2 linked regions of the Nothobranchius furzeri genome follow. The protein of the gene in region 2 purifies or fractionates together with the protein of the main gene of each other region. This does not show direct contact. Links are inferred from orthologs where the notes say so. Each region holds a gene or a part of one and is shown on either strand. Other genes may lie near its edges. The genes, in order: zfyve19 and vps4a.

Region 1 (4,420 bases), on a different chromosome or scaffold from region 2:
AGTTTCTTAGAGGTCTTTTTCTTCTCCGTGTTCCTCGGGCCGCTCTGTTCTACGGGTATGTTGTACCCACTAGCTTCGTCGAGTGCAGCTTCTTCTGAGAGCTGGAGCCAACCAAGAACAGGAAGTTCAGAGCATGCCAGTTGTCATTACCAGTTATTAAACGGCCTAACAGCAGCCTCTTGTGGCAGCCATTAAAAGGTCTAAAACAGTAAACCACAACATGTGGGTGTAGTGATAAATGTGTCGTCTCCCTGACCTGTTTTAGCACTCTCCTCACAGCTTCTTCCTCAGTCTCCTCTTCACTGTCAGGTTGTTGGAAATCCTCTGCAGTGACTAAGTGTGCAACACCAAAATGTCAGCTAATGAAAATGTGAATATCAACAGTTCTGTCATAGCTGCAGCGATGATCTCGTGACTGAGAGAAGGTGGGTGTGGAAACAGCTCTGAGCACCTTTATTTGGATCCTGGCCCTTTAACTGGGCCAGCCTCTTGGCCATGTCGAGGATTTGATCCTGGGTATGTCGCTCGTTCCTCAGCTCATTCATGGCCTCCTCCAGTAGACGCTCTTTCTCTGCCTCCAGCTGTTTGACTGCTCCCTGGTTGTCCTCCATGTTCTCATCCAACGTAGCCCCCTCCCCCTTGTTCAGATCATTCATATCTATGCCTGCAAGACAGTGTTTGCTGTACTTAGACGGGGATTTCTGCCTTTTAAAGCTTGTTGAAACAGGTTTTTTGGTAACACATTAACCCTTGTGATCACTAACTGAGTTCAGGATTTGATTGTTGGTTGTCAATGGCAACTTCCTCCGTCAGCTGGGTTAACAAGTCACTGGCTTTTTCAGTCTGAGTCCGGGTATCAGGAGGTTGGTGCACCTGCACACACACACACACACACACACACACACACACACACACACACACACACACACACACACACACACACACACACACACACACACACACACACACACACACACACACACACACGAACATGTAAGTTAATTAAAAACCATTACATTGAATTATTCAACACTTTAAAATACGACCAGTGTTCGGCAAATTACTTTGAAAAAGTAATTACTATAGTTACTACAAAAAGTAACTGAGTCAGTAATGGAATGACAATGCAATAAAAGTTTCTAATTACCAGGAAAATAAGTATTTCGTTACTTTTTCTAAATAAATTATGCAAGAAAATTAGCAGCACATGTAAGATTGTTTCCATCCCTTTAGCTCCTGGTCACATGATGTCAGCTTCAACACACCTTGCTGCTGAATTATAGTAGCGTGCTACATTTTCTTGTCAGTATTGGAAACAACGTAATTAATTTGATCATACGTTACTAAAGAACTCTGTTAGCAACACATTTAATTCAATGCCATTTTTCCAACCACTGAATATGGCTGAGCTGCATAAGGAGTACAATTTTTTTTATATTTTCCCACCTTTAATTTAACAGGTAAAATGTTTGAGAGTAAATTTTCATTTACAAACAACAACAACAATTATAGAAAACTGGGGCAGCAGTAGCTCAACAGGATGAGCGGGTTGTCCAGTAATCGGAAGGTTGCAGGTTCGATCCCCGCTCTGGACTGAGAATTCTGCTGTTGTGTCCTTGGGCAGGACACTAAACCCACCTTGCCTGCTGGTGGTGGTCGGAGGGTGTGGTGTGGCTACATCAGTAAAGATGTGAATGTTTGTGTGAATGGATGAATCATACACTGTAGTGTAAAGCGCTTTGGAGTCCTTACTCAGAGTGGCCCTATATACAAGTGTGGGCCATTTATCATTATCATGATAGAAGAAATTAGAGGAAAACTCACAGGAGCAGGAGCTTGAGATGGTGGAGGATGACTTCGCAGAGCAGCCAGACGATTCTCCATCTCCTCTGTAGAAGGAACAGGTTGGATGGGGACTCTCAGAGCAGCAAGGCGTGACTCGATTTCCTTCTCTGAAGGAATGGACCCTGAAGAAATGATTAAAAAGCAATCTATTGCTTTGCATTAAAAGATCCTGTTTAGCATTTTTCAGATTTATTTTAAATGCTTGATGATTAAATTCATTACTAGGTTTAGTGTCCTCTTTCAGCTTTTGAAGTCTCTCAGCAATAGCTTGGTCTTCTTTACTCAGGCCTTTTGCTGGTAGATGGCCTACTTTGCTGTTTCTGCTTCCCCCGTGTACGGCAGGTTGAGTCGACTGTCCTTGCTGTTTTGCCTCCAGCGCAGCAACTCGTCTGTGGAAAAAACAGAACTTTAGATAGTATGAAACTTCTGTAACGGCCTCTTTGTCAAACGTGGTCAAACACTAACTTTTTGTAATTTTCTGGAGGAGACCATCTTCCAGCATTGTGTGAAGAAGTCTCCCCTCTAAAAATAAAAAGGATAAAATAGGTTTTAGATAATTAAAGGAAAATAATTAATTTGGGGTTTATTGTGTCGGGTGAGGTTTACCTTGTCAAATTACCATGGCACTGCTTGCAGACCTTCTGCTGGGTGTTACCACAGCGAGGCACCACAGCATTAAAAGTCAAACAGCTGGAGCAGAAGGCTCGTCCACAGCTCTTACAGCCCAGCTATCATAGAAGTCAGCACAATCCAGATATTAACCACGTGTCCACAAACACACGAACGCGTACATATTTATTGCTGATTTATTAGTAAATCCATACCTCTTTCTTGAAGAGACTAAACTTTGATGCACAACAATAACAGCGACTGTCCATGCTGTCACGTGTAGCGTCATGAAACCGTAAGATTACAATTTACGTAATTCCAACAGGTGAAGAAAAGCGCTAAAGCAATAATAATTTCTGAATTAGCTATCTGTTTTCAGCTTGTCAACGATGCATTATCAAAACAGGAACTAAACCGGAAATGATGTATGAAGTAGTTGGCATTTTTCCTGTTATGTATTTCCTCCAATCAGCTATCTCCAAATCCTCTCGCGGGATTTGTTTAAAAGACAGGTCTCCATTTCAACGTTGTCCCTGTTTCATCGTTAGCTGCAAGTAATCGGCGAAGGAGACAAAGAAACTCTAAAAGTGGTATGAAAACACACAGTTAGTCGATTAATGTTAACGCTATACTAGTTTTAACTGGAAAATCTTTATGTATTGGGATAATTGACACGGCTAAGCAACAAATAACTAGCTAACGTGTTAGCTTATTGTGTTTTTGTAGCTAACTTTTTAGCATCGTGAAAGTTTCTGTTATCTAATTCAGGATTTGCTTATTTCATCCATATTATTTTACTTTTTACTTCTTTGTGTTTGCATTTTTGAAAACAATAAAATATTTAAAATTGGTTTTATGTATTGCTTTGGAATTAAGAGTCATAATTGTAAACATTAAAAAGAAAGATTGTAAAATGCATTGAAAGAAGAGTGCTTGCTTTTGGGCTTTGAGCAGAAATGAACTGCATTGGTTTTATTGTAGAGTATTTGCTCACGTGCAACGTAATTTACTAGGTTTACAAATATGTTCAAGCTTTTGTGCAAATTTACTCTAGAGTATCAGCAACAGTCTGCACCAGATACTTCATTCTTACAAGTTTGTGTGTGTGTGTGTGTTTTTCCCTCAGATGTTGGTGCATAAACTAAGTATAATTAGTACTGAATTATTGAATGATGTGTTTTCTCCTGCAGTTCACCGGTCTTTATTTCCACAATGGCAGAAGGAGAAGATGTGGATTGGGAGCTTAGCAAAGAAAACATCCAGCCGCTGAGGCGGGGCAGAGCAATATCAGCTTTACATCAGGCCCTCAGTCAGCAGCAAGATGGACCCACATCTGCAATCAACCAACAGAGACAGTAAGATAATCCATTAAACTTTAGTATTTCTAAAATAATTGGAACATCTTTTGTATGTAGTTTAAAATATAATGCACTTTTTGCTCTTTTGCTTCTTTAGGGCCTTTGAGTCTGAGCTTCGAATGTACGATGGAGACGATCCACTTCATGTTTGGGATTGGTGAGTTAAATATTTAAAAATATTGTCTTAAAGTTAAGGATCTTTAACTATCCCACTCATCTGGACAATTTCGGTTCTGATTTTACAGTTATGTCAAGTGGACAGAGCAAACCTTCCTTCAGGGTGGAAGAGAAAGCAACCTCGCCACATTGTTGGAGCGGGCTGTGACCAGATTCACAGAAGAATCAATGTATCACAACGACCCTCGCTATGTTGATCTGTGGATCAAATTTGTACGTTCTAGTTTTCTTATTCTGCTGTTCTGTTAGACTAAGGCAGAAGTAACAACTTTAGGTGTTTGTGTGCGCTACCAGGCCGAGAACTGCCCCGAGCCTCTGGAAGTTTACAGGTACATGCAAGCTAAAGGAATCGGATTGACACAGGCGTCCTTCTACATCGCCTGGTCAGAAGAGTATGAAAATCAAGGCAATTACAGAAAAGCAGACCTGGT
Region 2 (4,274 bases):
GCGCCCGAGTAGCCGTCTGTTTTGTGAGCGAGCTCCCGCAGGTCAGAGTCACTCAGGCTGTGTGGCGTGTTTCCCAAATGAAGTCGAAACATCTGAGCCCGGGCCGGCTCCTCCGGCAGAGGGATGTAAATCCTCTTCTCAAATCTGACACAAAACCAACCAGCTGGAACTAAATAATCCAGTAACATGAGCCAAGGAGGAAAGAACGGCGGGAATGAAGTGACCTCTGACCTTCTACGAATGGCAGCGTCAAGCACCCAGGGGATGTTAGTGGCTCCCAGCACTAAAACACCATCGTTGTTGTTACCCACACCTTACAAAAAACAGAAAGAGGAATCTTTAATGAACGATACGTTTATTTCAGCTCGTAGAGGAGAAAACTTTGTTCAAATATGTTAGATTTAATGGTTATGAGAATAATATCCATCCATAATAATACTGCCAAATTATCTGTTGTACATTTTATTCATTATAACAAAGGAAAATAATTCTCTGTTTGGCTTTTAAAAATGATCTAAAACGCAATCAAATGAAATTACTGTGTAAAAAGTGTTAAAACTACATAATTTTCTCGTGTTTATGATGAAATACATTCATGCACAGCTCCTTTTTGACTCGCCTTGCATCTGGACCAGAAACTCTGTCTTGATGCGGCGGGCAGCTTCGCTCTCGTTCTCATTCCTGGAGCCACACAGCGAGTCCACCTCGTCAATGAAGATGATCGAGGGCTTGTGTTGGCGAGCCAGGTCAAACAGATTCTTCACCAATCTGCGAGAGACCAAGAATATAGTTTAAACGTCGGAGCAACTTCAGCCTCTTTAGTACGCCAAAGTTGTTACGCGTGACAGAAAGCATCATCCAACATCGTTGCTAACTGACTTCTCACTTTCTCCCAGCCACTTGGACATGAGGTCTGAAGAGGAGACGGAGAAGAAGGTGGAGTTGTTGGCCTCTGTGGCCACAGCCTTGGCCAGGTACGACTTCCCTGTTCCAGGAGGACCAAACAGCAGGATTCCTCTCCATGGGGTCCTCTTTCCTGAGAACAAAGTCACGACTGGAATAAGTCAAAATGTTAAAAAAAAAAATGTCCAAAGAGGAGCTTTAGTTTTTAAGAAAGTACTAAATTTGCTTTTATGCCTCCTATTTTGTGTTTGAGGCATTACTTTGTGCATCGGTTGTAAAGAAACCGAAACTTGTAGAGACGATCTAAACCCAGTCTGAATCAAACAGCACCTGTGAAGAGGTGGGGGAATTTAATGGGCAGGATGACCGCTTCCTTCAATGCTTCCTTTGCTCCTTCTAGTCCAGCAACATCGTTCCACCTGACATTAGGTTTCTCCATCACAATAGCACCTACAAACACACAACATGACCAAGATGACATGGCTCATCACAAAACTACTGCACTCTCATATGATTTCTCTATTTTTCATTTAAACTTCCCTTCACACTCAGTCCCTTTTATAAGAGATCCAAGTTACGAGCAGAGGTGACTGGCATTCAGTGCGACGTAACTTCTGTGTTTTGTTGAAGCATTCCACTGCCAGATGAGCATTACATTTTTTCTGTAAAATGTTTTTATTTAAATGTTCTCAGAGGAAGTATCCTTCCTTCTAAGTGCTTTACTGAGAGTGAATTTTGGGTCACATGCAGCAAAACAGATCAGATCCGAGAGGAAGAAACAGAAATGAACAAGAATAGTTTTTTCCTTCAGGCTGCAGACAGCTTTAAAAAAAGATGAAACCACTCCTACCCATAAGTTGCTCCTGCAGTTTCTTCTTCTCTGGGTTTTCACCCTCACTGTCACTGTCACTCCTGGAGCAAACAAACAACACAGAAAATATAAACAAACAAAATCTGACAACAGTTTATTATTCCATGTGTTCTAATTAAAGTGATACCATACTTGTCATTGCTCTGTGCCTCCTTGACAGGTTTCTTCCCCTGTTTGTCTTTATTCTTCAGGTAGTCCTTAAGTTTCTCTGCTCTGTCCAGGTATTGCATGCACTTGGCTCGTATACTTTCCTTTGCCTTGTCGCTGTGGGCCTCATCTGGACAACAAGATCACAGCATCAGCTAACTATGCAACCACGCCTTGGTTACAGTTAGGTGCCGGAGTCCTTCACTTACATTTGATGGCATGTAGGAAATACTCCACAGCATGCTGGTACAGGCGCAGAGCCTCTTCATAATTTTTTGCCTTGTCCTCCTCTGTGGCTTTGGTGACGAGATCAATCGCTTTCTGCAGTAGACACAGAGAAAGGGTGGATATTAGAGGATCCATCGGTGAAGATACAACAACTGAAATAAAAAGCGGCTATGAAAATGCAATTAGAAGACAAACACTAACATCTAGATATTGCAGAATGATTCTTGCGAGATCTAATAAAATAAAACATGCATAATAATGGAAACAAGCTCCTACATTACAAGTAAATAATAGATGCAGGTCTTGCCAATTGCTTATTATATTATAGCTAATTGCTTGTCTAGTCGTTCAAATCACTTTCATGCAGATAGTTTGCAACTGTAGACTACACGTTCATTTACAAGTATCCAGTGTATTGTCTTTTATTTAATACACATTATTAGCTAAAACTCAAAGGTTAGCTTAAGACCGACAAGCTGCTACTGGTTATATCCAGTTACAGACCGCTAACGTTAGCATCCTACCTGTAATGTTGACGTTGTCATTTCATCTCACTCTTCCGTTCGCCACCCAGATTTTTATTTTCTGACCCTACCCAAAGTTGGATTCAAGAAAAAAAAATTTAACGCTTGCAACTCTATTTCTCAAAGGCACTGATTATTCGTGACATGACAATACAGAACAGTGGCTAGCGCGGTAGCAACAGCGCTAATGTTATTTTCAGCAATTTAGCTAACACAGAGACAAACGTCCGGTTACAGATTTCAAAATACTTTAATCAAGGTCCAGGTGTGTAAGCTGCACATGCAATTTTCAACAAAAAAACCACAAAATAAAATTAATACTCAAAATCTTTGCGTAGTTATATTTTTAAATTTACTTTTTACGCTTAAACAAGTTTGTTCCGAAAGCACAGGCTTTTAATTTAAAAATAAAACAAGATAACATCCGGTCAAAGGAAACCAACGTGACGTCTTCCGAATGTTTAACTTAAGTTATTGCCATCTAGCGGTAAAAGTGAGCAACTACACTTGAAACCAAAATAAAAATAGGTTAAATAAGCCTATTTCAGCAAGTTTTTAATTTAGTTCCAACGCACGTTGAAATTTTTGAACAGGGAAAATCCCACGAGGAACGAAATAAGTCACATTCAAAAAGCGGTTTTCACGTTTATACGAAATAAATAAATAAATTGCCCTTTGGTGTTACCTTGCTGTGATACTATTCTGTGCCCGTTTAATTTCAAGCTTTGCAGTATTTTGTTAAAGAAACGTAAGGACTCTAAATAAATGGTATCTTCACCAACAAGCTGTAACAGTAATGCATAAAGCTCTAAAATGGACAAATTTGACATTCAAAACCTAGCTTGTATAATTTTTTTTAAAACATTCATAAAACAAGTATTAATAAATAATGAAAAACTGATGAGAGCTGAGACATTACTAAAGGCAATAAATAAATACCATAATGACTAAATTTACCACATCTATGGATTAGTCTTTTAAAACTCTATCCCTATAATCTAACCAGTAGAACCTCCAAATAAAACCCAATTAAACACAAATAATCGGTTTCCTTTTGGTCTAAATCATAAGAAAGATGACATACTGGAGCTGGTGGAGTCAAACACTGTTTCCATCATGGGAGAAGAAGTGGAGGTGGTTGAGGAATACAAATACCTTGGAGTTCACCTGGACAACAGACTGGACTGGAGAAAGAACAGCGAAGCCGTTTACAAGAAGAGACACAGCAGGCTGCACTTCTTGAGGACGCTTAGGTCCTTCAATGTCTGTAGCAAGATGCTGCAGATCTTCTACAAGTCTGTTGTTGAGAGTGTAATCTCTTCAGCCATCGTCTGTTGGGGTAGCAGCATCAGAAGCAGGGACCTGAAAAGGCTCAACAGCCTAATAAAAAAGGCTGGTTCTGTTCTGGGGACGACTGTGGAACCGCTGGAGGAGATAATGCAAAGAAGGATTCTCCAGAGAATCAAGAAAATGATGGACAACCCTGAGCATTCTCGTCACAAGACTGTCCGACAACGGAAGAGTGTCTTCAGTCAGAGTCTTCTTCAGTTTGGCTGCAACACTGACCGCTACTGGAGATCCTTCCTGCCAACAGCCATTGT

Evidence for each region.
Region 1: the proteins of vps4a (region 2) and zfyve19 purify together in Homo sapiens (affinity purification with mass spectrometry; 3 studies listed by BioGRID and IntAct, counting the BioPlex papers as one, with this or other methods). This does not show direct contact. The link is inferred for Nothobranchius furzeri from reciprocal best matches to the Homo sapiens genes VPS4A and ZFYVE19.

The regions. Positions count from the first base shown.
Region 1 is NC_091758.1:34,203,278-34,207,697, forward strand, and holds the start of zfyve19 (abscission/NoCut checkpoint regulator), read right to left. Parts: upstream 2,865-4,420; 5' UTR 2,724-2,864; coding exon 2,670-2,723; intron 2,574-2,669; coding exon 2,452-2,573; intron 2,368-2,451; coding exon 2,311-2,367; intron 2,235-2,310; coding exon 2,068-2,234; intron 1,992-2,067; coding exon 1,825-1,991; intron 874-1,824; coding exon 765-873; intron 665-764; coding exon 452-664; intron 334-451; coding exon 257-333; intron 102-256; coding exon 1-101. Other genes in the region: bub1bb (mitotic checkpoint serine/threonine-protein kinase BUB1 beta), read left to right, coding at 3,667-3,809, 3,910-3,969, 4,058-4,202, 4,284-4,420. UniProt on the Homo sapiens protein: Key regulator of abscission step in cytokinesis: part of the cytokinesis checkpoint, a process required to delay abscission to prevent both premature resolution of intercellular chromosome bridges and accumulation of DNA damage.
Region 2 is NC_091744.1:86,346,755-86,351,028, reverse strand, and holds the start of vps4a (vacuolar protein sorting-associated protein 4A), read right to left. Parts: upstream 2,884-4,274; 5' UTR 2,695-2,883; coding exon 2,674-2,694; intron 2,243-2,673; coding exon 2,131-2,242; intron 2,052-2,130; coding exon 1,907-2,051; intron 1,816-1,906; coding exon 1,754-1,815; intron 1,354-1,753; coding exon 1,234-1,353; intron 1,037-1,233; coding exon 880-1,036; intron 769-879; coding exon 620-768; intron 314-619; coding exon 232-313; intron 145-231; coding exon 1-144. UniProt on the Homo sapiens protein: Involved in late steps of the endosomal multivesicular bodies (MVB) pathway. Recognizes membrane-associated ESCRT-III assemblies and catalyzes their disassembly, possibly in combination with membrane fission.